Diceros bicornis minor: one gene and its partners. The protein of the gene in region 3 interacts with the protein of the main gene of each other region in a biochemical or structural test. Links are inferred from orthologs where the notes say so. Each region holds a gene or a part of one and is shown on either strand. Other genes may lie near its edges.

Region 1 (7,976 bases), on a different chromosome or scaffold from region 3:
GATTTTCCCAGGATGGGAGGCCAAAAGAGGTTAACAAAATGAAGACAGTAAAGTTTCCTAAAGTTGGTCTAAATAGGATTAGGCAACATGGCCTAATGAACTTTGAGGGGAGTGGTGGAGACCAAAGCCAGACTGAGCAGGTTGAAGAGTGACTAGGAGAGGCAGTGGGAACAGCATGAAGAGATAAGTCTTTTTAAAAGTCTGGTTGTGAAAGGAGCATTTTCAGGAAGGCATATGTGGTCACACAATTTTTTTTTCACAGATGAGACATTCTAGAGCATGTTTGGATACTGATGAAAATTATCCAGTGGGAAGGATCATGAAGGGTCAGATCCTCCTTCTCAGAAAGGCCATCCTTGACCACCTGAAAACATATATGCTGCTAGAGGTCCTCTAGCAGATTAGGACAAAGCCATCTTCCTGAGTCCACCCTCTCCCTAACTTGACTCCCTCATTCTTCCTCAATTTAAGATACTCCAAAGTGGAAGAGTGGATATTGAACAGAAGTTGGCTGATGCGATTGAGATTGAATACACCCAAAGCACTTGATAAATGTATCCAAAGATTACGGAGAAATCAATATGTCAGACCCATAACCATGTCTTCATTCCGCATTTTCTCCCAATTTGAGCTCTCATTTCCAAGAAGAGTTGGGCTTTGGGAAATTCTATGGATCAGGATATGATTTAAAAAACAAACACAAAAACTCTATAAAGTATATCCCATAAAGAGTTAAATTAAACTTTTTGAAGAGTTCTTAGAAAGTGGAGCAAGCTGGGGTATCAATGGTATGAAAATAAGAAAATTTCCATTTATATCACCCTTTAATTAAGTTACCTTTAATGATGTTATGTTGTTATGTTTCATAGCATATAGCTGCTGAGACCCACCTTTGGAGCAGATAGCCCAAAGAAATATCCCAAGAGAGAATAATTTTTTCTTTTTCTTTTGAAAAAATTTCCCCCCAAATTTCTTTTATTCAACTCCAGGGCTGATATGGCAACGGGGTATAATACAGTTTATTTGTTGACCAAGAAATATTAAACAAATCTTTTTAGTAAGAAAAGTATTTTTATATTCTAGGCCAAATGTAGAGATATATATACCAAAGCAAGTGTATTTTATTAATAATGAGTTTTTTTTTTTTTTTTAACACTGTGGTGTGTGTATATGTATGCAAGCCTGTGTGTTTGAAAGAAAAGACTCAATTGTTGGTGAAATGCAAACTGCTTATCCATTTCCCACTGAGAACAGCTCTAAAAGGATGTTTTTCCTTTCCCTGGTCATTTCAGTGCACTGGAAACAAGAACTATTTCCATGGAAAGAAAGAGTAAATGCCTTCCCTTCAAAAAGCTTATGAAAGACTTTTTTCCCCCATAGGTTGGTGAAGACATATGTTAATCTTGTTGCAGAGAAATCTGTTCTAACTCTCAGGTGTGACCCACTGAATCAGCTCATAGTGTTCCGGGTCCTGTTCTCCACAGGCTAAAACAGAATTATGCATCCTTGCACCCCCATACACAACCATTCCCACAGAAATCTCTTGGTACAATCTTCTGCTCTGTGTTTTCTTTGATATTTCTTTGAATGGCTCCACTAAATTCAAATGTATTTGACTCCAATTTAAAGTACAACTGTAAAATTTTATCTGGCAATTTATAAATTGAATTGCAAGTATCTATACATTGTTTATATGAAGAACTACTAGCATAATGCATGATTCCATTTATATGAAATGTTCAAAATAGGCAAATCAGAGATGGAATGTAGATTAGTGATTGCCAGGGGCTGGGCAGGGATGGGGGAGTGAGTGGGAGCTGGAGGTGACAGCTAAGGGGTGTGGAGTTTCTTTTTAGGGTAATGAAAATGTTCTAAAATGTATTGTGGTGATGGTTGCATAACTGAATATACTGAAAACCACTGAATTGTGTGCTGTAAATGGGTGAACTGCATTGTATATAAATTATATGTCAATAAAGCGGTCAAAAAAAAGAACTATAAGGACATGCTTAGAATATTTTAAAGAAGGTTTAAACAAAGTTCAAAAAAAGAGAAGAGCACCAGATTCCTTCTTGGAAAACCCTGGTTTAAATCCTGGTTTCTTCACTTCCTGGATTTGGGAGTTTGGTCAATAGGAAAACAACACGATTTTCGTAAGTATGGATTTCCTTGTCTATAAAATAGGGATGTTCTACCCTACCTGTTGCACTGGCTAAATGAACTTGGGTTATTAAAAGACACACACATGTGTGTATGTACTTTTAAAAATTTGCCTGGCCTACCTAAAGCACGAAGTGAATATTTGTTGAATTATTTTTGCATACATCACTTGGCCAATCGATGCCTGTGGTTTCTCCAGGCATACAAAGCAAACCTATATGTATGGAAGGTCTTACTTAAGCCAGAGCCCACAGGGAACTGGTGAATACAACTCCAGACCAGTCAGAGAATGTAGTCAAGGAGAGATTTCATTGTTTGCATCTGAACGTGAGGAGCATATGACACCTTAACAAAAATGATCTAAATTAATCCAACTGAGAACCAGGTAAAGAGACTAACCACTTTTCGGATTGTTAACTATATGAGCTATTTTTTCAACTAAAATAACCAACCCTTGGGCTTCATCTTTTTGATTTAAAAAGCCATTCATTATTTTCTCGGCCCATTCATCTCCAGTGTTCACAGGGAAACTAAATTTATTTCTTGAATTCCTCAATCTTATATTTAGATTTCAAACTGGGAATCTCATGAATCAAAAGTTAAATTAAACTAGTTGCCCATAAAGCCATCATGTCTCTATTTTTATACGTTGCTAGGAAAAAAATACTGATTAAAAAAAAAAAACAACTTGAAGTCTTACCTGATTTCAGAAATAAAAGCAGTAGAAGAACCACTTCCTTATGGTCCATTTTGGAACTGGCCAGCGGTGTCCAGAAAACAGCGTGTCCCAGTCCCAAGATGTTATTGACTTACATGAAAGGAAATGCATCCACAAACAAGATAATCACATATAGTTAATTATTCTCTTAGAAGCCTATTGCCACTGAGCACTGAGGGTTCAAACATTACCTTGACTGGAGGATCTTACAAAATGTTTGAGAGCAGAATTTGCAATAGATGCTGGGAAGTGGTGAAAGCGGGCCCTGCCCCCTCGGCGGCCCCGTGCTGCCTTCTTCTCTCTTTAGTCCTCACCTTACTCCCAGTCCATCATCATTCTTAGTCTTGTTTTCTTCTCTCTTCTTTCATTCTCTTTTTTTTTTTTTTTTTGCTTAGGATGATTAGCCTTGAGCTAACATCTGTTGCCAATCTTCCTCGTTTTTTTTGCTTGAGGAAGATTAGCCCTGAGCTAACATCTGTGCCAATTTTCTCTACTTTGTATGTGGTTCGCTGCCACATCGTGGCTGATGAGTGGCATATGTCTGTGCCCAGGATCTGAACCAGTGAACCTGGGCTGCCAAAGCAGAACCCGCTGAACTTAACCACTATGCCATGGGGCTGGCCTCTCATTCTCTTTCTTTTGGGTAAAAAAAAAAATCACAATAGCTCTCATTTGCTGAGAACTTTCCTTTGCCAGACACTCTGCTAAGTGGTGCATAGGCATAGTTACATCCAACCTTTAAAACAAGCAATATTATTATCGTCCCCATTTTAGATGAGGCGACTCAAGCTAAGCAAGTTTATCTTTCCAAGGTTACTTAGCTAACAAGGGGTGAAATAACACATATAAGCTAAGGCATTGTTGTTAACATCCCCACATCCTACTAGTGTAGAAATTACAACATAAGTGAAAATATTTTATTATTATCAAAATTTCTTTATGCCTGGTGGACTCACGTGTTTTCTGTGATTATAAATTACATTACAAAATTATCGATCTTTTCCCCAAATGAATTCACAGTGCATTAGATTGTCATCCTCGTGAAATAAAGCAAGAGTGGTAAAATTAAGTTTAAAGAGTCTGTCTTGATCTTAATTGTTGAGTCTGTACATTTCCCTGGCTTAAGGCTAGTATGACCAGGTAGTAAATGCTTTAAAACCGCTATTTCAGTGTTCAAAAATATTTAGGAATAGCTAAATTGACTCTATCTAAATGTGAAATAAGAACGAGAAATTCTTCTCTCTCCAGCTATGGAACTCCTTCCTATAAACTAGCAAAGTATAAAGGAGGGCACCATATCGTTTTCGGTGGTACCTCCTGCAGAATTCCCTGGGATGGAAGGACAGTCATGTGTCACTTAATGATGGGGATATGTTCAGAGAAATGCATCCCTAGGCGATTTTGTCATTGTGTGAACATCACAGAGAGTACTTACACCAACCTAGATGATACAGCCTGTTACACACCTAGGCTCTATGGTACTAATCTTATGGGACCACCATCATATATGCAGTCCATCGTTGACCGAAACGTCCTTATGTGGTGCAATGTTCTGTACTGTGTAGAATTCTCAAGAACAAAACGTGCTGGAGAACAAGAAGTTGGTGCTACTGTGAGGGGCAGGGATGACCTAATTATATTTCCTAATTTTCTACTTGATCTTAGCTTTCTTCTCTCAAACTCTGTCTTCCTGTCTCCTCTCCCTCTCACCTAGTGGCCGAGTGTATTAAAGGGGACACAAGGTGCAGGCAAGTTGAGAAATCAGCATTGGGCAGACATTTTTTCTTAAAATATCTGAAATGTCTCTTAGGGGGATTATGTTGGTGTATTTGAGAAAGTACTTTGGGGAAAAAACAGACTCTACTAATATATAATGTTTCCAGTCTGCATTTATTTCCATTTAAAATAGTTTAGCACTGCCTCGCAGATAAGGCATTTCAGGAACAATATTATCAGAAATTCTATTACCACATAATTTTCTTTTTCCTGTTTTATTTTTTTTCTTATTTGGGTGGTGGTGGTATGCCTTTTGCTCCCTTTTCTCCTGGAATCTTCTAGAATGCTTTTGATTCTACCAATGTTATTTTCTAAATCAGGTTGCCCTCCTCTGGCCTTCTGACTATACATTCTTCACCACGTTCATAATATATCAGCATCATGAGAGCACAGATAAACACGAAGCAGGGTTTTGCTCTTGTGCCACCAGATACTGTAGTGTGTAAAGAGAAGAGCAAAGAGGAATGTATTGTTCACATGCAGACAGGGGGGTGCACAGAGACTTCCATTGCGTCACAGCACTACATGGTTTAGCTTCATAGGTACAGGGTAGGCATAAAGCAATGGACTATTCTAGATCACGCATAGGAATCCCACAACAACACTCTTAGAGGGACATCGGATAGTGGTTTTGCTCAAGGCTGTAAAGACAATTCATTCAAAATAAGTCTTTTTCTACTTCAAAGAACGGCAGAAACTCAGGAAGGAGATAAAGAGAGATCATCTTTGCCTACTATTAGCAGGTTGAATAAATTCTGAGATGTGCATCTTTATTGAGTCCAATTCATTAAGTATTTACTGACCACCTACTGTGTGTTAGATTCATTTAGGACTATATAAAAGGTAAAATAAATAAAAATTAAAAAGTTACAAATTACAGTCTCCTCCATCCCCCAGCCTCCACCTAAAAGAACTCCAGGAAATTTTTTATCTAAGATTACTGGAGGCTTCTGCTGCATTGTAGCCAGAGACAAGGACGTCAAAATATGATGGAAGAGGGATCGAATTTCTTAGCTCTGCCCAGCAGGGCGCCTGCAACCAAGATCCACTCAGGTTCCTTTAGGAAGGGAAGAATTAGCTAGTTCCTCCCCTCTAGGCATTAAAATGGTGAATTCCTCGCAAGCACTTTACCAGGAAAGCCACAAACACCAGGAAAGTTCAACCTCACCAGGCGAGAGAGGTAGAGTGCCCCCTTCAGTCTCGCCTGCACCCACCTTGCCTGAAGTGGAAGCTGTGGCCAGGTCACAATTTCCCAGGTGACATGCTTTCATACCGCGTGGACCCTGTCTTGCAGATCTGACATTTACATCTGTCACCTTTCTGCACCGACGTTCCACCTTCCTCCAGCCCCAGCAGAGCTCCTCCCCACCCAGGCTCTGCCACCCTGGAACGGTCATTCTAAGACAGCTCATTTCTTTACCAGGAGCATCTCTGAATATCCCCAATAAGACCATGTCATTTCAAAAGGAAAACAGCGGAAAAAATAATCTATTAAGAGTTCAAACGAAGTATGCCTTCATTGTTGCAAGGGTTCTTAGCACGTTTATCTTTGCCCTTGATGTCAGTTTACAGATTGCTTTCACTCTGTTAGTTTATCAGGGCGTATCACCCAGGACACACGCTCTCATTAATCTGAAGGTGCCTTTCATGTCTTCATTTGACCTTTTTCTCAGGTCTGTTAGCCTTTGTTCCTCAGTCTCTGGGGCTGTGGAATGAGACCGTTATCGGCCCGAGCTCCCGTGAGGAGATAGCAGGCTGCTCAGTTAGCACAGGGGTTAAAATGTAACCCGCCCAGAGCACTTTCCAGGTGAGACCTAAGTCAGTGGTCAGCGAGCTGTATTTTCTTCACTGGCTTGTGCTTGCGGAAATTGAGATGTTTATTCAGTTTTGGAAAAAAAAAAAGAGCCTTCATTGGATATTTCCTCGTCAGACTCGTAAGATGCTCGAGAAAAACAGTAACAGAGAAGGTAGTAATTCCTGGATAGTTTACCAGCCTGCCCTGAGGCAGCACGAGGACTCCCCAGAGACCCAGGCAAGCGTACTTTCTGCTCCGAGGTCCAGATTCACTGCGGAAAAACAGAGAAACCAAATCATCCTTTCCATCTCGAAAATTCATTACTCTCAAAGTTAATTAAGACAAAAAATTTTTTCACAGTATTTCGGAGAGACATGTAGAAAACACTAAAATCTTTTAAGAAAAAAATAATGAGTACAGGTAAAAACTGGTGAAATCTGAGCAACGTCTGTGGGCTAGCTCATTACTGCACCAATGGCAACTTCCTGGTATTGATAATGAACTACAGTTATGTCAGATGTTCCCTTTGGGGGAGGCTGGGTGGCTGGGTGATGGGTACACTGGACTTCTCGGTACTATTTTTGTAACTTCTTGTGTGTTTATAATTATTTCAAAATAAAAAGTAAAAATACATATGTCTATATACGTATATATTTGTATATACATGTATATATGTGTGTGTATGTGTATATTTGGATATGTGTGTCTATATTTGGATATATACGTATATATTTAACGTATATGTTTATGCATATATTTAAATATATTTACAGAACTTTCAAAGTACAGAAACTTGTCCAGGGAGAATCTAAAGTTATAGAACTTCTAAATCGGGGAGTGGAACTCAGGCTTTGACTCAGGCCCCCCCCCTCCGCCTCCACCCCTCCCCCAGGCCGGACAGTCAGTAAGGCCTGATGGACGCCGCCTGCGCAGTAGCAGCTGGCGGAATCCAGAGGCTGCAGGCGTCTGCGCCTGCTGCGGCCTCCCAGGTGCTCGGGGGAGACCTGCCATCTCTGCACACAGGTAAAACACCAGCGGGACAGAGGCGCCTCATCGCCACAGGACCCCAAGTAGTGACCCCTCCCTCCTCTCCTATCCAGCCCACCATCCCCACAGTCCAGCGGAGGGATCCGAAGGTCCCCGAGTGAAGCGCGAGGCTTGGGGCGGGGGCGCGGGGGTATCGTCATTGCTGTGAGCTCTCCTCCAGGAGATGTGGTTCCAGGGTGTACAGCGTGTTTAACACGGTGCTGAGGCCTGGGCCGATAAGAGGAACTAAGACTTTATCCCCACCCTCAGGGGGTTTTCCACCTAGTGGGGGTGGGGGCAATGCCGGTCTGTAAGTAAGACTGGAGCGCGGAGTGGCGAGTGCTTAGAGCGGCTGAGGCCCCGTTGGCCGTGGAGCACACGGAGGGACACTCAGTGTGGAGGAGCGAGGACACGCTTCCCGGAGCAAGTGACATCTGCGTTGAGACCTAGAAGACAAGTAGGAGGGATGAGAAGCAAGGGGAAGCATGTTCCGAGCAGAAG
Region 2 (7,125 bases), on a different chromosome or scaffold from region 3:
GAGGCCACCAGGACCCCACCCCAGGCTGTGCCCTTTCCAGACGGCGGTGAAACCGAGGCTCAGAGACAGTGAGCGAGTTGCCCAAAGTCACAGAGCTGGGCGTCAAACTCAGGCTCCCGGGCCCGGCTTCACACCTCTCTGCGCCCCCACTCCCTTGTCTGTGAGGCGGGGGCTCCAAGAGGACCCCCCTCGAGGGCTGGAGGAGTGAGGTCCCCCCAAGACTCAGAACATTCCCGTACCTCGTGAGCACTCAACGAACACCGCCACAGTGCTTTGTCATCACCACCGGCGACACTCGTGTGATCCCATGAAAGTGGGTTTTATGGGGGGGAATCCAGAAATGGTAACCCGAATCCTTTCGTGGAAGGAGGTGGGGAAGGGACTTCTCACGTCAATGCCCCACATTTGCCGCCACCTGGTGGCAGCATACCCCAGAGGTGCCCTGACGACTTTCCACACCCGCTGGCACAACCGACACACAGCCAGACACGTTCTACAAAAGGGAGAGGGTTTTTATTGGGCGAGGTGCCCGGGGACGCGGCGTGGGAAGGGCCTGGCTGGGGCAGGCGAGGCAGGGGCACCCGGGCCGCCCTTCCTAGCGGGCCCCGCTCAGAGGGTCCCCGTGGCGGCGGAGGATGGAGTTGATCCAGCTGGCGAACTGCGCGACGGGGGCGAAGGCGTCGGGGTAGAAGCCAGAGCCGCAGCCTCCGCGGATGAAGGAGTCGATGCCCTGGACCAGCCCGTCGCAGACCAGCGGCCCGCCAGAGTCGCCCTGCGGAGCCCGACAGACGGGGTGGGAGGCTGCGCTGCCCGGGCCCCGCCCCGCTCGGGGTCGGGCAGTCCCTCCCGGGGTCCGGCCGCTGGCCGGGTTGCTGGGGCCGGGCGGGGCTCGGGGTGGGGGACGCGGGGGGCACTCACGAAGCAGATGCCGGCCCGGCGCCGCGGCACCAGCGTGCACACGTTGGAGCGTTGGCACAGGGAGGTCACCACCGTCACGTTGAGCTGCTGCAGGATGCTGGGCAGCCGCCCATTGGTGCCCAGCCGGCCCCAGCCCATGGCCAGGCACTGCGTCCCGTTCCTGGGGCTGCGCCCCTGGGCGGGCAGCTGGGCCACCTGCACGTTGGCATTGATGGTGGCCAACCCGTCGAGCTGGGACAGAGCACGTGAGTGTCACACGGGGCGCGGGCGACGGCCCTCCCCTCCCCGGCCTCAGTTTCCCTGTCTGTAATTGGCAGCAACCACAGTGGCCCGGGGCGCCCCGGACATGACTTGAGTGCTGTAAACAGGAGGTGCTTAATAATGGTGCTATAAACAGTAGGTGCTCAATAAAACAAACCATGGGCAACACTGAGGCCAATAAAACCCTCGTTCTAGAACATTCTCAGAGAAGAATCAGAAGAGTGGGATGGGAGGGTTTCTGCCTTGAGTCTCCCGCTGGCCCGAATGTGGGACTTGTGACAGGGCACGAATAACGGCGTTTGTTGATTGACTATTGCTCAGAGCTCCCGATGTCGTCTCTCACAATCTCTCCGAGGCCCGGCCAGGCGGGGTTTGTCTCCCCGAGTCACAGAGGGGAGACCGAGGCACAGAGAGACGACGTGCCTGTGACAGCTGGGGTCCCCCTGTCCACCCCCCGGCCCCTGGCCCCCACCTGGAGAACCACGATGTCGTTCTGCAGCGTCGTGGGGTCGAAGCCGTTCTCGAAGATCCTCCGGACGCCGAATGTCTGGCGGGTGCGCTCGCGCCGCCGCAGGTTGTGGGCCCCCAGCACCACCTGCACCGACCGGAAGTTGCTGCCGGCAACGGGGGGACAGGGGGTGACTCGGGCGGCCCCGGGGTCGGGGGTCAGCCCGCCCCTCGAGGAGCGAGGACAGACGGGGACACTGAGGGCCGGGGCGGATACGGGGGACTCACCGGCCATTCACGCAGTGCGCGGCCGACAGGACGAAGTCACGGGCGATCAGGGTGGCCCCGCAGAAGTGGCTTCCCCGCTGCAGGGACACCATGAAGGGCCACGCATGGGGCCGGGCCGGCTGGCCACCCACGATCTCCAAGGCCAGTGCAGGGCCTGGGGCACACGGGGGGGCAGGGCCGGTCAGCCACCCGGCTCACACCAGGACCCCAAGGGGTCCAGGCTCTTTGTGCTCACTGCCCAGATGGGGAAACTGAGGCACAGAGACGCAGAGAGGGGGCTGCCATGGTCCCCCAGCCGGGGTGCGGCTAGATTGGGGCTTAACGTGGCTTTGGAGTCCCCAGAGGGCGCCCAGGGACCCCCCGGTTCAAACCCCAGCTCTGGACTCCCACCACTCAGAACCTCAGTCTCTTCCTCTGGAAACATGTCACCTCATCCCAGCCGTCACCTCCCCACGAGGACGAGGGGCCCATGAGAGGCAGGAAGAGACGTCCAGGGACAGACAGACGGACACGCCGCCCCACTCACCGCCCAGCAGCACAGCCAGCAGGATGGGGGCGAGTACAGGGCTGGAGGGTGTGCGGCTGCCAGTCATGGTCGGGCGAGGCTCCGCGTCTCTGCCCCCCGTGCCCGCCGGCCCCTCTTATGGCCCCCACGCCGAGGCCGTTGCCGTTGCCCCACTTCCTGTCCCCCCCGGGGACGTGGAGACGAGGGGGTGACAGCAGGAAGCATGGGAGGAGGTGAGCCGGGGCCGGGGGTCCGGATCAATCTCGGACGCGCCATTCCGTCTGAACGTGGGATTCGCCGGTTTTAGTGCAAGTCCGTCCCAAATACCAGGCGGGGTACGCTTATCTGCAGGGTCAGTGCCCCAGGGACGTCGGCTGGGCCCCCCGCCTCGGTTTCCCCGGGGCACCCTCATAACCACAACGATGGCGTTCCACAGGGGTGGCGGGGGCTGCTGGGCCCTCTGAGATGGGGAAACGGAGGCATGGCGGGCCCATGAGTGGGTGACGCGGGGGCAGAGGGTTCTGAGCCCAGGCCCCACAGTTCACAGCTGGACGTGGCCCCTGCTCCCCACCACGGCCTCTCCCTCTCGGGGTCCGGCCGTCCAGCCTCTCTTTGGTTGCTGCTCGCGACGGGGAGCTCACTCCCCCCCGGGGGCCCGGTCAGTCTCGGGTCCCCAGCGGAGGTTCCGGGAAAGGACCCCTCCCAATCGGCTCCCCCCACCAGCCTCTCTGGACCCCTTCCCACCCGGGTCGGGGGGACGTGCTGGAGAAAGGATGTCTGGGCCTGGAGGCCGGACCGTGGGTCTCCGCCCACGTCTGGGAGCTTCTGCCTGGAAGAACTGGGTGTTGCAAGAAGCAACGTCCCCCCGGCTGGAAGCGAGGGTCACGGAAGGGAACCAACGGATCCTCTGCGGGAACAGGAGGGAGGGGCGCCGGGAGCCCGGCCCGGGCTGGAGTCCCCGCCTTGTGTGGCCACGGGCACGACCCCCCACATCTCTCCAGCGAGGACGACCGGGCACACGGCAGGCGCTCGGTGTCCCCTCCCCATCCCTCCCCTGGTCAGACACACATCGACCAGCCCTGCTAACCTCCCCACCCGGTCACGTTCAAGCTACCTTTGAGCACTTAGTCAGCACCTGCTGTATACACAGCCCTGTTTCTAGTTGGGAGGGTGGGGGAATGGAGGAGGCCCTGTCTTTGGGGGATGTGGTTTAGAAAGGACACCTTATGTAGCCAAAGCTGCATTTACTGAGCACCACCTGTATACCACGCTCCCCCGTGTCATGACTGTTAAGCGAGTCGACTCTGGGTTCATATCCTGGCTGGCCGATCGCTCCCTGCCTCCTTTCAGGCCCCTGACGTAACCCCCCACCCGTGCCTCGGTTTCCCACTGTGACAATCGGCTCCGTCTCAGGATTGTCTCGGGGATTCGGTGAACGGAGGTGAGTTAAGTCCTTAGATGATCCGGCGCCGCGCTGGGGCGTGTCAACCATTAACCCCCCAGGAGAGCGGGGGTCGGGGATTGCCTGGGGGACCCGGACCCCTGGAGAGTTCTGACTCGTGATCAGGGCTCTGGGGATGGGCCAGGGGGATGCTGAGCCCTTGGGGGCCCCTCGCTCCCTGAGCCTCCCCAGTCGTGTCCCCCGAAACGTCCTTTGATTCTTCCTGTGGGTTTGTCCTCCCCACGTGTCCGCAGCCCCCGCTGACCTCGGCAAGTCAACCGGGTGCCCCTGGGACCCCGATCCTCAACTCCCCCCGGGTCTGATCGTTGGGGCGCAGAACGTTCCTCTGACCACCGTTCACACACGTGAACCCACAGGAGACGCCCGGGGCTGGGTGTCTGGGTCTCTCTGTTCCCGTTGTCAGGCTCTCTTGACGTTCCCTCCCGCAGACCCCAACCCCGGGCACCGGGAGGTCCCTCTGGGCTCTTTACAGAAACCTCGTCCCGGCCCCGGGCCCCTGGGAGAGGTGAGGACTCTCAGCAGCCCCTGATCCTCATCAGCTACATTTCCCGGGATCGGCGGCCATGTCCCATGTCTGCTCCTGGCACTGCTGCTCCAAAGCAGGTGCAGCTCCTCCCCGGGGGTGGTCAGTCGAGGTGTGGACCAGTGGACAACGGGGCAGGTCTGGGAGGACTCGCCCTCGCTCCCATTTGTACGCTGCCACCAGGTGGCGGCAGAGTAAATCAATAAGGAATGAGCTGCCTTCCCACTCCAGTGTGCCCCCGGGAGCGGGTCGGCCCCTCTCTCTGAGCCTCGATTGCCTCATCCCTGTGGCCGCTCGCCCTCTCCATGGCTGACCAGTGACCTCTACCTCTTCTCTCTCCTCCAGGCCCACCCCAGTGCCTCTCCGTGGCCCCATGTGCTCTGGCCCCACCACCTCCCTGACCTGCTCTCCTCCCCTATCCCCTCGCCTCTCTCCATTCCAGCAACACCACACGCCGAGCTGTTCCTGACACCCCCCAGCTCGTCCAACACAGGGCCTTTGCACTCGCCATGCCCTGCCTGGCGGCCCTTCTCTTTGTGTTCTAGTCACACACTGACAGTCAGCTCAGGTGTTGCCTCCTCCTCCAGGAAGCCTCCCTCATGGCCCTTCAGCCTGCCCGTGACTGGACCAGGAGCCCCAGAGGCCTGGACACCCCATGTGACGATGGCCTGGTCCTCAAGTGGCCCCCAAGCTGGGAGACCAGAGCCACATGACACCCCCCAGCCCCAAGGGCCAGGCTGGGGCTCCCCCGACATTTTGGCACATGTCTGGGGTGACTCCATCTTCCAGATGAGGAAACCGAGGCGCAGAGGTGGGCAGCAACCTGCCCAGAGCCACACTGGCAGCTGGACTAGAACCCACGTCTGTGGGCGTCCCCACTGTGGCCTGGGCCCCCCACCTCCGGGCCTCCGCTCCACCCCCATCCTGAGCCTGGGGCTCGGGGACTCGGAGCCGGGGACCCTCGGCCGCTCCCCATGCCCTGCGGGAAGGACAGACGGAGGCGGACGGGGAGTTCCAACTTTTATTGAGGTCACTGGGGGGGCCTGGCTCCCGAGAGCCCCATGGGAGGGGGGGGGCGTCTGGAGGAAGCAGCGTTCTGGGGACCCCCCAGATGAGCCCCCCGTCAGGGCTCGGCGTCTGGCCTCAGCAGGCGGGCCGTGGAAGGGTACGGCTCGGGGGCCCCTTCACCCCCTACGCTGCTGAGCACGGAGCGGATCCAGTCCACGTAGAGCGAGACTCGGGCGAAGAAGTCGGGGTACCGGCTGGTGGCGCAGGCCTGGATCACGAAGGAGTCCACGGCCTGGAGGACGCCGTCGCAGATCAGCGGGCCGCCCGAGTCCCCCTGGGAAGGGCGGGGACCGGCCCGTCAGTCACAGGGACGCGGGCCCGGGGGCCGCCCTGCACCATTTAGGGGTAAAATGTCTCCAGCGTGGAATTTTCTTTAAGAGGCATGGGCAGGAGAGAGATGAGGCCACTCCGGAGGAGAGCGGGCATCTATTGGCCTCCTGCTGTATACCCAGACCCCGGGATTCTGGGTCCAGATTCCCGATGATTTCTGAGACGGACCCCTGGAGGCTGCCGGCTATGATGTTTGCGCCCCCTCTGCGCCTGCGGGAGCTGAGGCTGCTCCACGCACCTGAGCCCCTCGTTGGTGAGCCCGCCTCCCGGATGGAGAGACCAAGGCATGGCCGGCCGCTGCCCTGGGTGGGATTCGGATCCGCCCGCCTCCTTTGCCCTGCGCTCCAGGGCAGCCCCCTCCTCCGGGAAGTCCCCCCGGATGTCCCCCGAGGTGCTGGCCCGGGAGTGGGCGGTACGTACAAAGCAGATGCCGGCGCTCCGCCGGGGCACGAAGGTGCACACGTTCTGTGGCCGGCACAGGAAGGTGACCACGGTGACATTGAGCTCCTGCAGGACCCTGGGCAGTGGCTCCTGCGTGCCCAGGCGGCCCCAGCCCATGGCCAGGCACTGGGTGCCCTGGGGCAGCTCCTGGTTCTGCTCGGGCAGCGGGGCTACCGCCACCTGGGCATTGAGGGTGGCCGGGCGGTCCAGCTGGGGCAGAGGAGTGGCGGGGGGAGGTGAGACCCCGTCCCCAGGCCCCACAGCCACCCCCTCCCGCGTCCACTCTACAGTGCCTCTTCCAGGCCTCTGCCTGTGCTGTTCCCTCTGCCCGGCCCCCTCCCGCTCATCCTCAGGGCCACCTCCTCCGGGAAGCCTGCCCCGATTGACCCTCCAAACCGAGCCAGGGCTCGGTTCCTGGGCTAAGCCCTGGGGACCCCACCTCTGCCCTCGGGAGCCGCCCTTTCGGGTGGGAGGTCCCCGGAGCTGTCGTTCCAAGCAGGGCGAGCGGAGGCCTCCAGAGAGGGTGAGGCTGGGGTGAGGGTGTCGGGGCGGGGGCACCCCCAGGGCAGAGGCCGGGGTCAGGGGTGGTTTGAACGGCTCTCCCCTCACCAGGCCAACTGTATACCAGGCCGTGTCCCGGCACCCGCCTGGGGCCTGGTATACAGTAGGCGCTCAATAAGTGCTCGCTGGAGCACGAACGAGCCGGGCCCGGCGCCCACCTGCAGGAGCAGCACGTCATTCAGCTTCTCCTCCGGGTCGTAGTTGTTCTCGAACAGGCGGGCGATGCTGAACTTCTGCTGCGTGGACTCCTCGGTCTGCAGGTTGTGGGCCCCGAGCACCACGCTCACCAGGACGGGGTTCCTGAGGGGTGGCGGTGCTGAC
Region 3 (7,617 bases):
CATCCTCTTTACTTCCTGTCAGGCTCATGGGCTTTGCGCCAAAGAGCTGCTCCGATTGTTCCAGGAAGTCCTCTTTGATGGGAAATCCTACACAGAAGGGGCCACAAGCTATTCCCAGGGCGCAGGCTCCACAGCCACCAACGATCTGACTGGCTCCCTGAGGCCAAACCCACCTCCCTCACCCCTGTCGACCCCAGGGCACTACCTAGGGAGCTCCCTACCACCAGCACCTACCTTTCTGCAGGTACATTCTGGCAGCCAACTGGAATGCCCTAGGGCCCAGGTCCCTGCTGAGGCGGCTCAGCAGGTGGGGGAGGCAGGGCCCTGAGTCTGTATGTAGCACCTGCAGCAATCTCTGCAGCGTTTGGTTCTGAGCACCTGGAAGGGACCACATTGGCTGTGGCCAGGCTGGGGTTCTTTCCCACCCCCACTGCCCACTCCAGTCCCTCTTGAATACCCACAGTGAGCATGCCCGCAGGACCACACACTCTCCTCCCATATCCACTGAACTGGTCTGAGCGACAGGACTCCCAAGTCCTACTTTCACCTCTGCTGCTGACCGTCTGGGCGGCCTCACCTCACGGAAATTGTCTTCTCTCTCTGGACCTCAGTTTCATACAATGAGACCCTCCAGTCCAATGGAGACATTGTAGCTATCAAACTCTCGCATAAAAATCACCAGGAACATATCCCTGGGCCCAATCCCTCAGAATCTGATTCACAGGGACTGGAGGTGAGCCCAGGAATCTGCATTTTTACCAAACATCCAAGTGACCCTGATGGAGGAACCACCCACTAGTAAACTCTGGAGGGTGTAGTAGTGAGTTCCTACTGGCCTCCCAGCTCTGCTGATCTGGACACATGCTGCCACAGTACCCAGTGTCAGGTGAGACAGTGCCAGGGCCACACTCAGAGGCGACAGGATGAGGTTGGGGCTGGTGGACCTTTGGGCAACGAGGGAGAATAGGTCTGTGGTGAAAGCCATCATGGCCTGGGCCAGCCTGCGGGTCTGCTCTGGGGTGGGGGCCGCCTTGCAGTCTCCTGGGGCCTTCTTCAGGGCAACCTGGCCACCAGCCTCCTGCAGAGACAGATCAGGGGTCAGTGGGGCCAAGGGGTCAGCTCCAGGTTCTGTGTTGAAGATTTCCTTCGTAGCCCCTGTGCCTGGGGGCAGCAGGGCCTGGTCCCAGTCCTGACAGGAGAGGGAGAGTCTCATGGGCAAGGGCATTCTGGGGACTGGATCCCTTCCTCTGGTCCCTCCCACCCTCCCCTTCGGACCTCAGCCTCACGGCCACGCCCCCTGTTCCCTCGCCCCTGCTGATTGGCCCTCCTCCCTCGGGCCCCGCCCACTCTTCCCCAGCCCCACCTGGTTGTACCTGGTTGCGCAACTTGAGGAAGATTATCGGGGAGAGCTTCTCCTGCGACATCCCGCTGATTAGCTGAAGAAAGGAGGAAGCAGATGGAGAGCGACCCTTCCCAGAGGTCCCCCACCCTGCACAAGCCACAGGCGAGGCCCCTCGGGGCCTTCCTCCCAGGCACACGCCCCTCACTCCCCAGTACCTGCTGGCCCAGGGGCTCCATGGCGCTCACAGGAAAGAACTGTTGAGAGAGGGATGAGGAGAAGAGGGGGACCCCCTCAGAGCTAAATCTTCCCTCGGACGACCCCCCACCCTGCGCCCTTCAGACCGCTGGCCTCTCCCCACCCCTCCCCGCCCCACCCAGACCTCAGCCAGGCTCACCGCAGAGCAGGGGCCTTGCAGGCAGGACAAGCAGAGCACCAGGAGTCCCCGGAGCAGCGCCATGTTCCTGTTGTGGACCGGAAGCCTCCGTTCCCACCTCGCCCCCACACCCGCGTGGAATCCCACCCACGCGTTCCCGGGCAGGCTGAGTCCTGAGCCGCTACCGCCGCGGGGAAAACACCAGCTACAGCACACCGCCCTAAAACACCATAGCAAAGCTTCTCATCTCTGAGGGGCAGATGTCCCTCCGACTTGTTTTTTAACCCCCTTTGTTTTCCTGGTTTTTCACATTTCATGCCCTGAGAATATTTTGGTTCATAGGGGAAAAATATTATCAAAACAAAAAATGTCCTCATTCTTCAAGGCCTGGCATTGTGAGTCAGACCTGGGTTTGAATCCAGGCTCTGCCTCTTGCCAGAGGACCTTGACATCTCCCTTAACACCTCTGGGCTTCGCTGTGTCTTGTAAAATGGTGGCAAAAGTCCTTACCTCCTCCCACGTGTATTGTGAGGACTGAAATAAGACAGTCTTGGTGAGCCCTGAGCACAACGCTTGACGCTCAGTAACAGCTCTCGTCAGCCTAGCGCAAGGTCCCTCTTCTGGGAAGCCGGCCCTGAAGCCTCCTCTGTACTAGGGCTCCCTCCCCAGAGCTCCTATCCAACCTGCTGTCCAGCCGGCCCACCTTTTCTGGCTGGTCTGGTCTTGCCCACAAGGGTAGACAGGACTATGAGGCCCAGAGGTCTCAGCAGGGTGGTGGTGGGTGCTGGAAAGCCGCCTCATTGACCAGCAGCACAGCCCAATGAATGACTCTGGCCAGAACCACCTTTGGACTTACGGGAAATGCAGGCCTTGCCCCAACTCTGCCCCAGGCCGGCTCCGGGAAGCCAGGCTGGCGGGTGGAGATGGGCAGGTCTTGGTCTGGCCTTGGAGCAGGTCTCACACACACCCCCACCCCGCCCCCATCTCAGGGCTAGTCCCTCAGGAGGATCCTTATATCACCCCTGGCCCCACTCCCATCACACAGGCAAAGGGCCCTGATCTCCAACCTGGGCTTTTGAATCTTCTTGGCAAGAAAAGGCCTCCAGTTTTTCAAGTCCCAGAGAGACTCTCCCCCAGATCCCCTACTTTGGCTCCTCATCACCTCAGGAAACTGGGAATCAGCAGGCCTCCTGAATAAATTCAGCCCCCATACCCTCAGCCAGGAGGGCAGCTCCTACCTCCTCTCCTGCTCAAGGAACAGACCGCCCGCCCCTCCCCTCATACCTCTGCAGGCTCCTCGCTGCTGCACACAATGTCCCTCTGGCCCCACTTGGGTGCTCCCCTCTCTCTGCCCGGGCTCCAGCCAGCCCAGTGGAGCCCTCCCCTCCCACCGGGACCTTTGCTCTCAGCCAACCCCTGTTCAGATTGCTTTCTCTTCTGGTAAATATTGACCTGCACATCCGGTTAAACATTGATATTGGGGCTGGAAGCCCCTTTCCCAGCAGGGCATCTAATCCTGAGACAGCCACCTGGAGCCCCCATGGATCTGGGTCCCACCTGAGCCTGGAGAAAGGAGGTTCAGGAGACAGTTGAGGAGGCTGTCCTCATCTGGAGGACAGATCCAGAAAGGACAGGGGCCTTCCAGCAACCCCACAAGGTGGGGAGTTATCCCTTTAGTCAGGCTCAGAGATGCTATGTGACCTGCCCAAGGATACAGAGCTGGGCTCAGAATTACATCCAGGTTCCCATTTCCAATGTCCTTTCCTTTTCCCTACAACTGCCACCCCATCCCTAGGAGAGGGAAGGGGAAGCTGCAAAACCTTTGCTGGGAACCCAGGATAGGATGCCCATCCCAACCATTACATGCCCAGGATCCTGGCTGGCTGCCTTCAGCCTGGGTCTGGAAGGCAAGGGGTGGGAGAGGAGAGATGCTGAGGGACACAGCCTCTCTCAGCATCCTCCTTACTGGAAACTGGTCTGGGGCTGCATGAACCAGAAGCCCTGTACCCTGAAGAGCAATGATCAGGTGGCCTCCCCACCTCCTGCCCTACTCCTCACTGCCCTGGAAGCTGTGGGGGTCTCGACTTTTCCCCACTCTGACACCATTGTCAAAAAAAAAGCCTCACTCAGTTCCACGGCTCCTTCAAAGAATTTATTGGTCATATTTACATCTATTGCAAATAGTGAGGAGGCAGCATGAGCCCAGCCTCAGAGCTCATCTCTGCTCCAGAATGTGAGGACCCGAGACACCTGGGTCTTCCTGTCCCCTGGGCGAGATGCAGAGATAATTCTTCTCGCCCCTTCTCTCAGGGTCTTAGAACTCCACCCTCCAGGGGTTCTGGGCCCAGGAGCTACCTCCTCAGCTCAAGGCACAAACACTGTAGTTAGGGGAGGGCAGGCACCAGCTGGCCCAGTCCATCTTCCCTCCCCTGGTCCCGCCCTCTTTCTTCCCCTACTGGTCCCATACTGGCCAGGGTCTGACTGGGTGGACACTTAAACCCCAGCCCCAGGCCCTTAACTCCTAGACCACGGCCAGCCCTCCTTAGAGGCTGGAGTCCAAGCACCATCAGTGTCCTGGACTGGGGCAGCATCCCTGTCTTTGTGGGAGAGGGGCAGAGAGAGTCCAGCAAGGGGGGGCTTTGGCTGAAGACTGGCTGGGCAGGGCCAGTCTCCCTAACCCTTCCCAGAGCTTCCCTGTCCCCATGTGGACCCGAGGACAGAGTGGGGAGAACACAGGGCAGCGATGCTTTCCCACGCTCTCCCTCTTCTTCCTACTGGCTTGGAGCAGCATCTCCCCAAGCCATGAAGGAGATCCTCTGGCAGCCTTGGGGGCTCTAGGAGTTCAAGAGCCTGGACCCTTGTCCAGCCCTAGCTTGCAGGCCATGTGGGTACACAGGGCATGGGGTCTGAGGCTTGCCTGGAGGGAGCTGCTGGGCAAACAAGGCTGATGGGATGGACTCCTAGAGGATGTCTGCCCACCCCTGCCTGACGAGCCCCACCCTCAGCCTATGCCAGGAGGCGGATGACCCCATTGTCTGAGCCCAGCAGGAGGTGGCGTTTGGTGGGCAGCAAGGCCAGGCTGGTGAGCGTGCCCCGGAAGTTCTCAGAGCTGAGCTTCGTGGTGGCCTGGGAGGGCGGCTCAAGCAGGGAGCAGACGCCGATCTTGTTGGCCACGGTGCCGGTGATCACCTCGCTGCCATACAGATCAAAGGTATGGATAGGGTCGGAGGCTGACTTGTAGTGGTGTGTGGGCTTCTGCTCCAGCTCCTTCCAGACAGTCAAGGAATGGTCGGATGAAGAGCTGACCAGGATGCTGCCCTCCACCGCCTGCCCGGGGAGAGCAGAACCTCAGCAGGGCCTGTGCCCTCCCATGTGCCCACCAAACCCCAGTGTCTTCCCATTTCTTCCCACAATATCTCCCAGGAAGACAGGGCATCCTGAGCGGAGGACAGGCTGCCACCTTCCCACGTTACATTAACGTGAGTTAATATGACTATATCAGTGTCGTTAACCTAGTTATCACTGTAATCTGAGCACTGACTATGTCCAGACATGGCATTACGCATGCCCTATTACCACATTTCATCTTCATAATGACTCTATGAGGCAGATGCTGTCATTGTTCTCATTTTACGGAGAAAAAAACTAAGGCTCAGAAAAGTTAAGTAATCATACCAAGGTCACAGAGCCAGTAAGTGGCTGAGCCAGGATTAACACCCAGGCTGACCCCAGAGCCCTCTTGATGCTTTCTTGGAAAGTCAGCATTTAGGGACAGTTGGAGCCCAGGGTCCCCTGGGGGGCCCTGGAGGGAGCCAGGGGCAGCTTGCCCCCAGCAGTGGCAGTGCACATCCCCTGGCCTCAACTTAGGATGAGGAGGGAGTCCCAGTTGCCTGGAAAAACCCTCCCACAAGTAGCCCTGTTCCTATCCTCCTGTACCTCCCTGAGCAGTTCCCTGAGGTCCGTAATTGAGAAGGGGGCAGGGGTGGGGGCAGGAGCCCCACGCCCAGTCTGCCCCTGCCCCCACCAGGACAGCCCAGCAGTGGGCATGGACTCTGCTCAGTGGTCTAGGGGCAGTAAACAGCCTCCCAGCTGAGCTTTATTTAACCTGAACTGGGTCACGGACAGGGCCCGACCCCTGATCCTCCAAGCAAGACAAATATGGACAAGGGTTACTCATTAGAACATCTCCAGGGAACAGCAGGGTCAGCTCGGCCCCCTGGGTCCCGCCCCTGTGCCTGCCTCCTGCTGAGGCCCCCCACAGTGCAGCGGGCTCTTGACTCTCCCTGCCCGTCAGTCCTTGGGCAGGTGTAAGTGACATCAGCTTGAGCCTGTCCTGGTGGACCCTAAGCAGAGATTAGAAGGGAACGGGACCTGGTCTGTTACCTTGATCTGTAAGATGTCCCCCTCGTGGGCAGGCCAGCCACGCAGAACAAGGCCCGTACGGGTGTCCAGGAGCACCATGAAGCCCGAGGAGAAGCCGGCCACAACGCTACGGCCACTGGGGCTAACAGCCAGGGAGCGGACAAGCCCAGGGTTCAGCCCGCCACCCAGGCGGAACTCATGCTACAGGCAGAGGGAGACAAGATGAGGCACCACCACCCACTCCAACCTGCTTCTCCCTAAGGTCCTGCTCACCCCGCAAGCCCACACAGCTTGACAGCCTGAGCCTCTGTCCCCACATCACAGGCCAGAGTCCCACACCCCCAGATTTGCTGCTGTGGGTGATCCGTCTGCAAAGAGAAACTATGCCCTGGCCTTCAGGGTCTCTCCTCCCTGCCAGGCACCCTGACTAGGGCTCAGGGAACCGACGCCCCTGACCTGCAGGCCAGGCTTCCTGCAGTCCACAAAGCGCAGGGTCGAGTCAGAGCCGGCCATGGTGATGCTGGTGTGGGGGGCAGGCATGACAGCCACGGCAGTCAGGGGCACCCGGCTGTCTGATGGCTCCACTGTGCGAATGGTCTTCCCTGGGAAGGAATGACACGGTGTGTCTGAGGTCCTAGCAGCTGATGGAAGAGCCCTGACTCCTCCTATCCCTCCAACCTACCCCATACCTGCCTCCCATATCCCAGAGGAGCTCAGAAAATGCCAAAGATGTTTCTTGACCCTCCCACCTTCCTGTTTCCATGGCCAGGCCAAGCTCCCATCCCCAAAGCAACCTCCTCTCTTCACATAGCATCCCCTGACCAAAGCTGCCTCCCTGTCTATCTCAATGCTACTCCATGCCCTCCCCGCTTTTAACCTTGTTTCTCCCTACAATGACACGGAAAAATAATTGAGCAACTATTTACCAAACATGTACTACATGCTACACATTAAGCCAAACCTCTATGTGCATTATCTTCTTTTTTTTTTTTTGTGAGGAAGATCAGCCCTGAGCTAACATCTATGCCAATCTTCATCTTTTTGCTGAGGAAGATTAGCCCTGAGCTAACATCCGTGCCGATCTTCCTCCACTTTATGTGGGACGCCACCACAGCATGGCCTGACAAGCAGTGCGTCGGTGCACGCCCAGGATCCGAACCCGGGCTGCCAGCAGCGGAGCTCACACACTTAACTGCTACGCCATGGGGCCGGCCCTATGTGCATTATCTTCTAAATCAGTTGTTCTGATTCCCATTTTACAGATGGGAAAACTGATGCTTCTGGCAGCAAAGTGACTTGCTCAACATCACACAGCAAGTAAACTAGCAGAGACAATTCAAACTCAGGTCTAATGGATTCCGAGTCCTAACAGCTCCTCTGTGTGGCTTCACTGGGTCACTCCCAACCACATACCATTACACCCCAACCATCCCACCCTTGGGCCCCATTCCCAGAGGCCTGGCAGAGTACAAGATGGCAGCAACAGAAACAGGCCTCACCTGGGCCAGCTCACCTGTGAAGGAGTCCCAGATGTGCACAG

Evidence for each region.
Region 1: the proteins of SERPINF2 (region 3) and plasminogen-like form a complex in vitro, tested with the Homo sapiens proteins (2 studies listed by BioGRID, with this or other methods). The link is inferred for Diceros bicornis minor from reciprocal best matches to the Homo sapiens genes SERPINF2 and PLG.
Region 2: of the proteins of SERPINF2 (region 3) and ELANE, one has a biochemical effect on the other in vitro, tested with the Homo sapiens proteins (2 studies listed by BioGRID). The link is inferred for Diceros bicornis minor from reciprocal best matches to the Homo sapiens genes SERPINF2 and ELANE.

What each region holds. Positions count from the first base shown.
Region 1 is NC_080778.1:9,495,947-9,503,922, reverse strand, and holds the start of plasminogen-like, read right to left. Parts: upstream 3,001-7,976; 5' UTR 2,910-3,000; coding exon 2,861-2,909; intron 1-2,860. UniProt on the Homo sapiens protein: Plasmin dissolves the fibrin of blood clots and acts as a proteolytic factor in a variety of other processes including embryonic development, tissue remodeling, tumor invasion, and inflammation. In ovulation, weakens the walls of the Graafian follicle.
Region 2 is NW_026691553.1:442,052-449,176, reverse strand, and holds ELANE (neutrophil elastase), read right to left. Parts: upstream 2,517-7,125; 5' UTR 2,508-2,516; coding exon 2,441-2,507; intron 2,069-2,440; coding exon 1,915-2,068; intron 1,794-1,914; coding exon 1,652-1,793; intron 1,150-1,651; coding exon 919-1,149; intron 773-918; coding exon 596-772; downstream 1-595. Other genes in the region: myeloblastin-like, read right to left, coding at 2,556-2,879, 3,810-3,990, 5,303-5,383, 5,574-5,746, 6,223-6,453, 6,963-7,104. UniProt on the Homo sapiens protein: Serine protease that modifies the functions of natural killer cells, monocytes and granulocytes. Inhibits C5a-dependent neutrophil enzyme release and chemotaxis. Promotes cleavage of GSDMB, thereby inhibiting pyroptosis. Promotes blood coagulation.
Region 3 is NC_080757.1:16,026,057-16,033,673, forward strand, and holds the start of SERPINF2 (alpha-2-antiplasmin), read right to left. Parts: upstream 3,047-7,617; 5' UTR 3,000-3,046; intron 1,804-2,999; 5' UTR 1,800-1,803; coding exon 1,737-1,799; intron 1,597-1,736; coding exon 1,558-1,596; intron 1,437-1,557; coding exon 1,374-1,436; intron 1,079-1,373; coding exon 877-1,078; intron 379-876; coding exon 235-378; intron 88-234; coding exon 1-87. Other genes in the region: WDR81 (WD repeat-containing protein 81), read right to left, coding at 4,722-5,042, 6,099-6,278, 6,534-6,679, 7,591-7,617.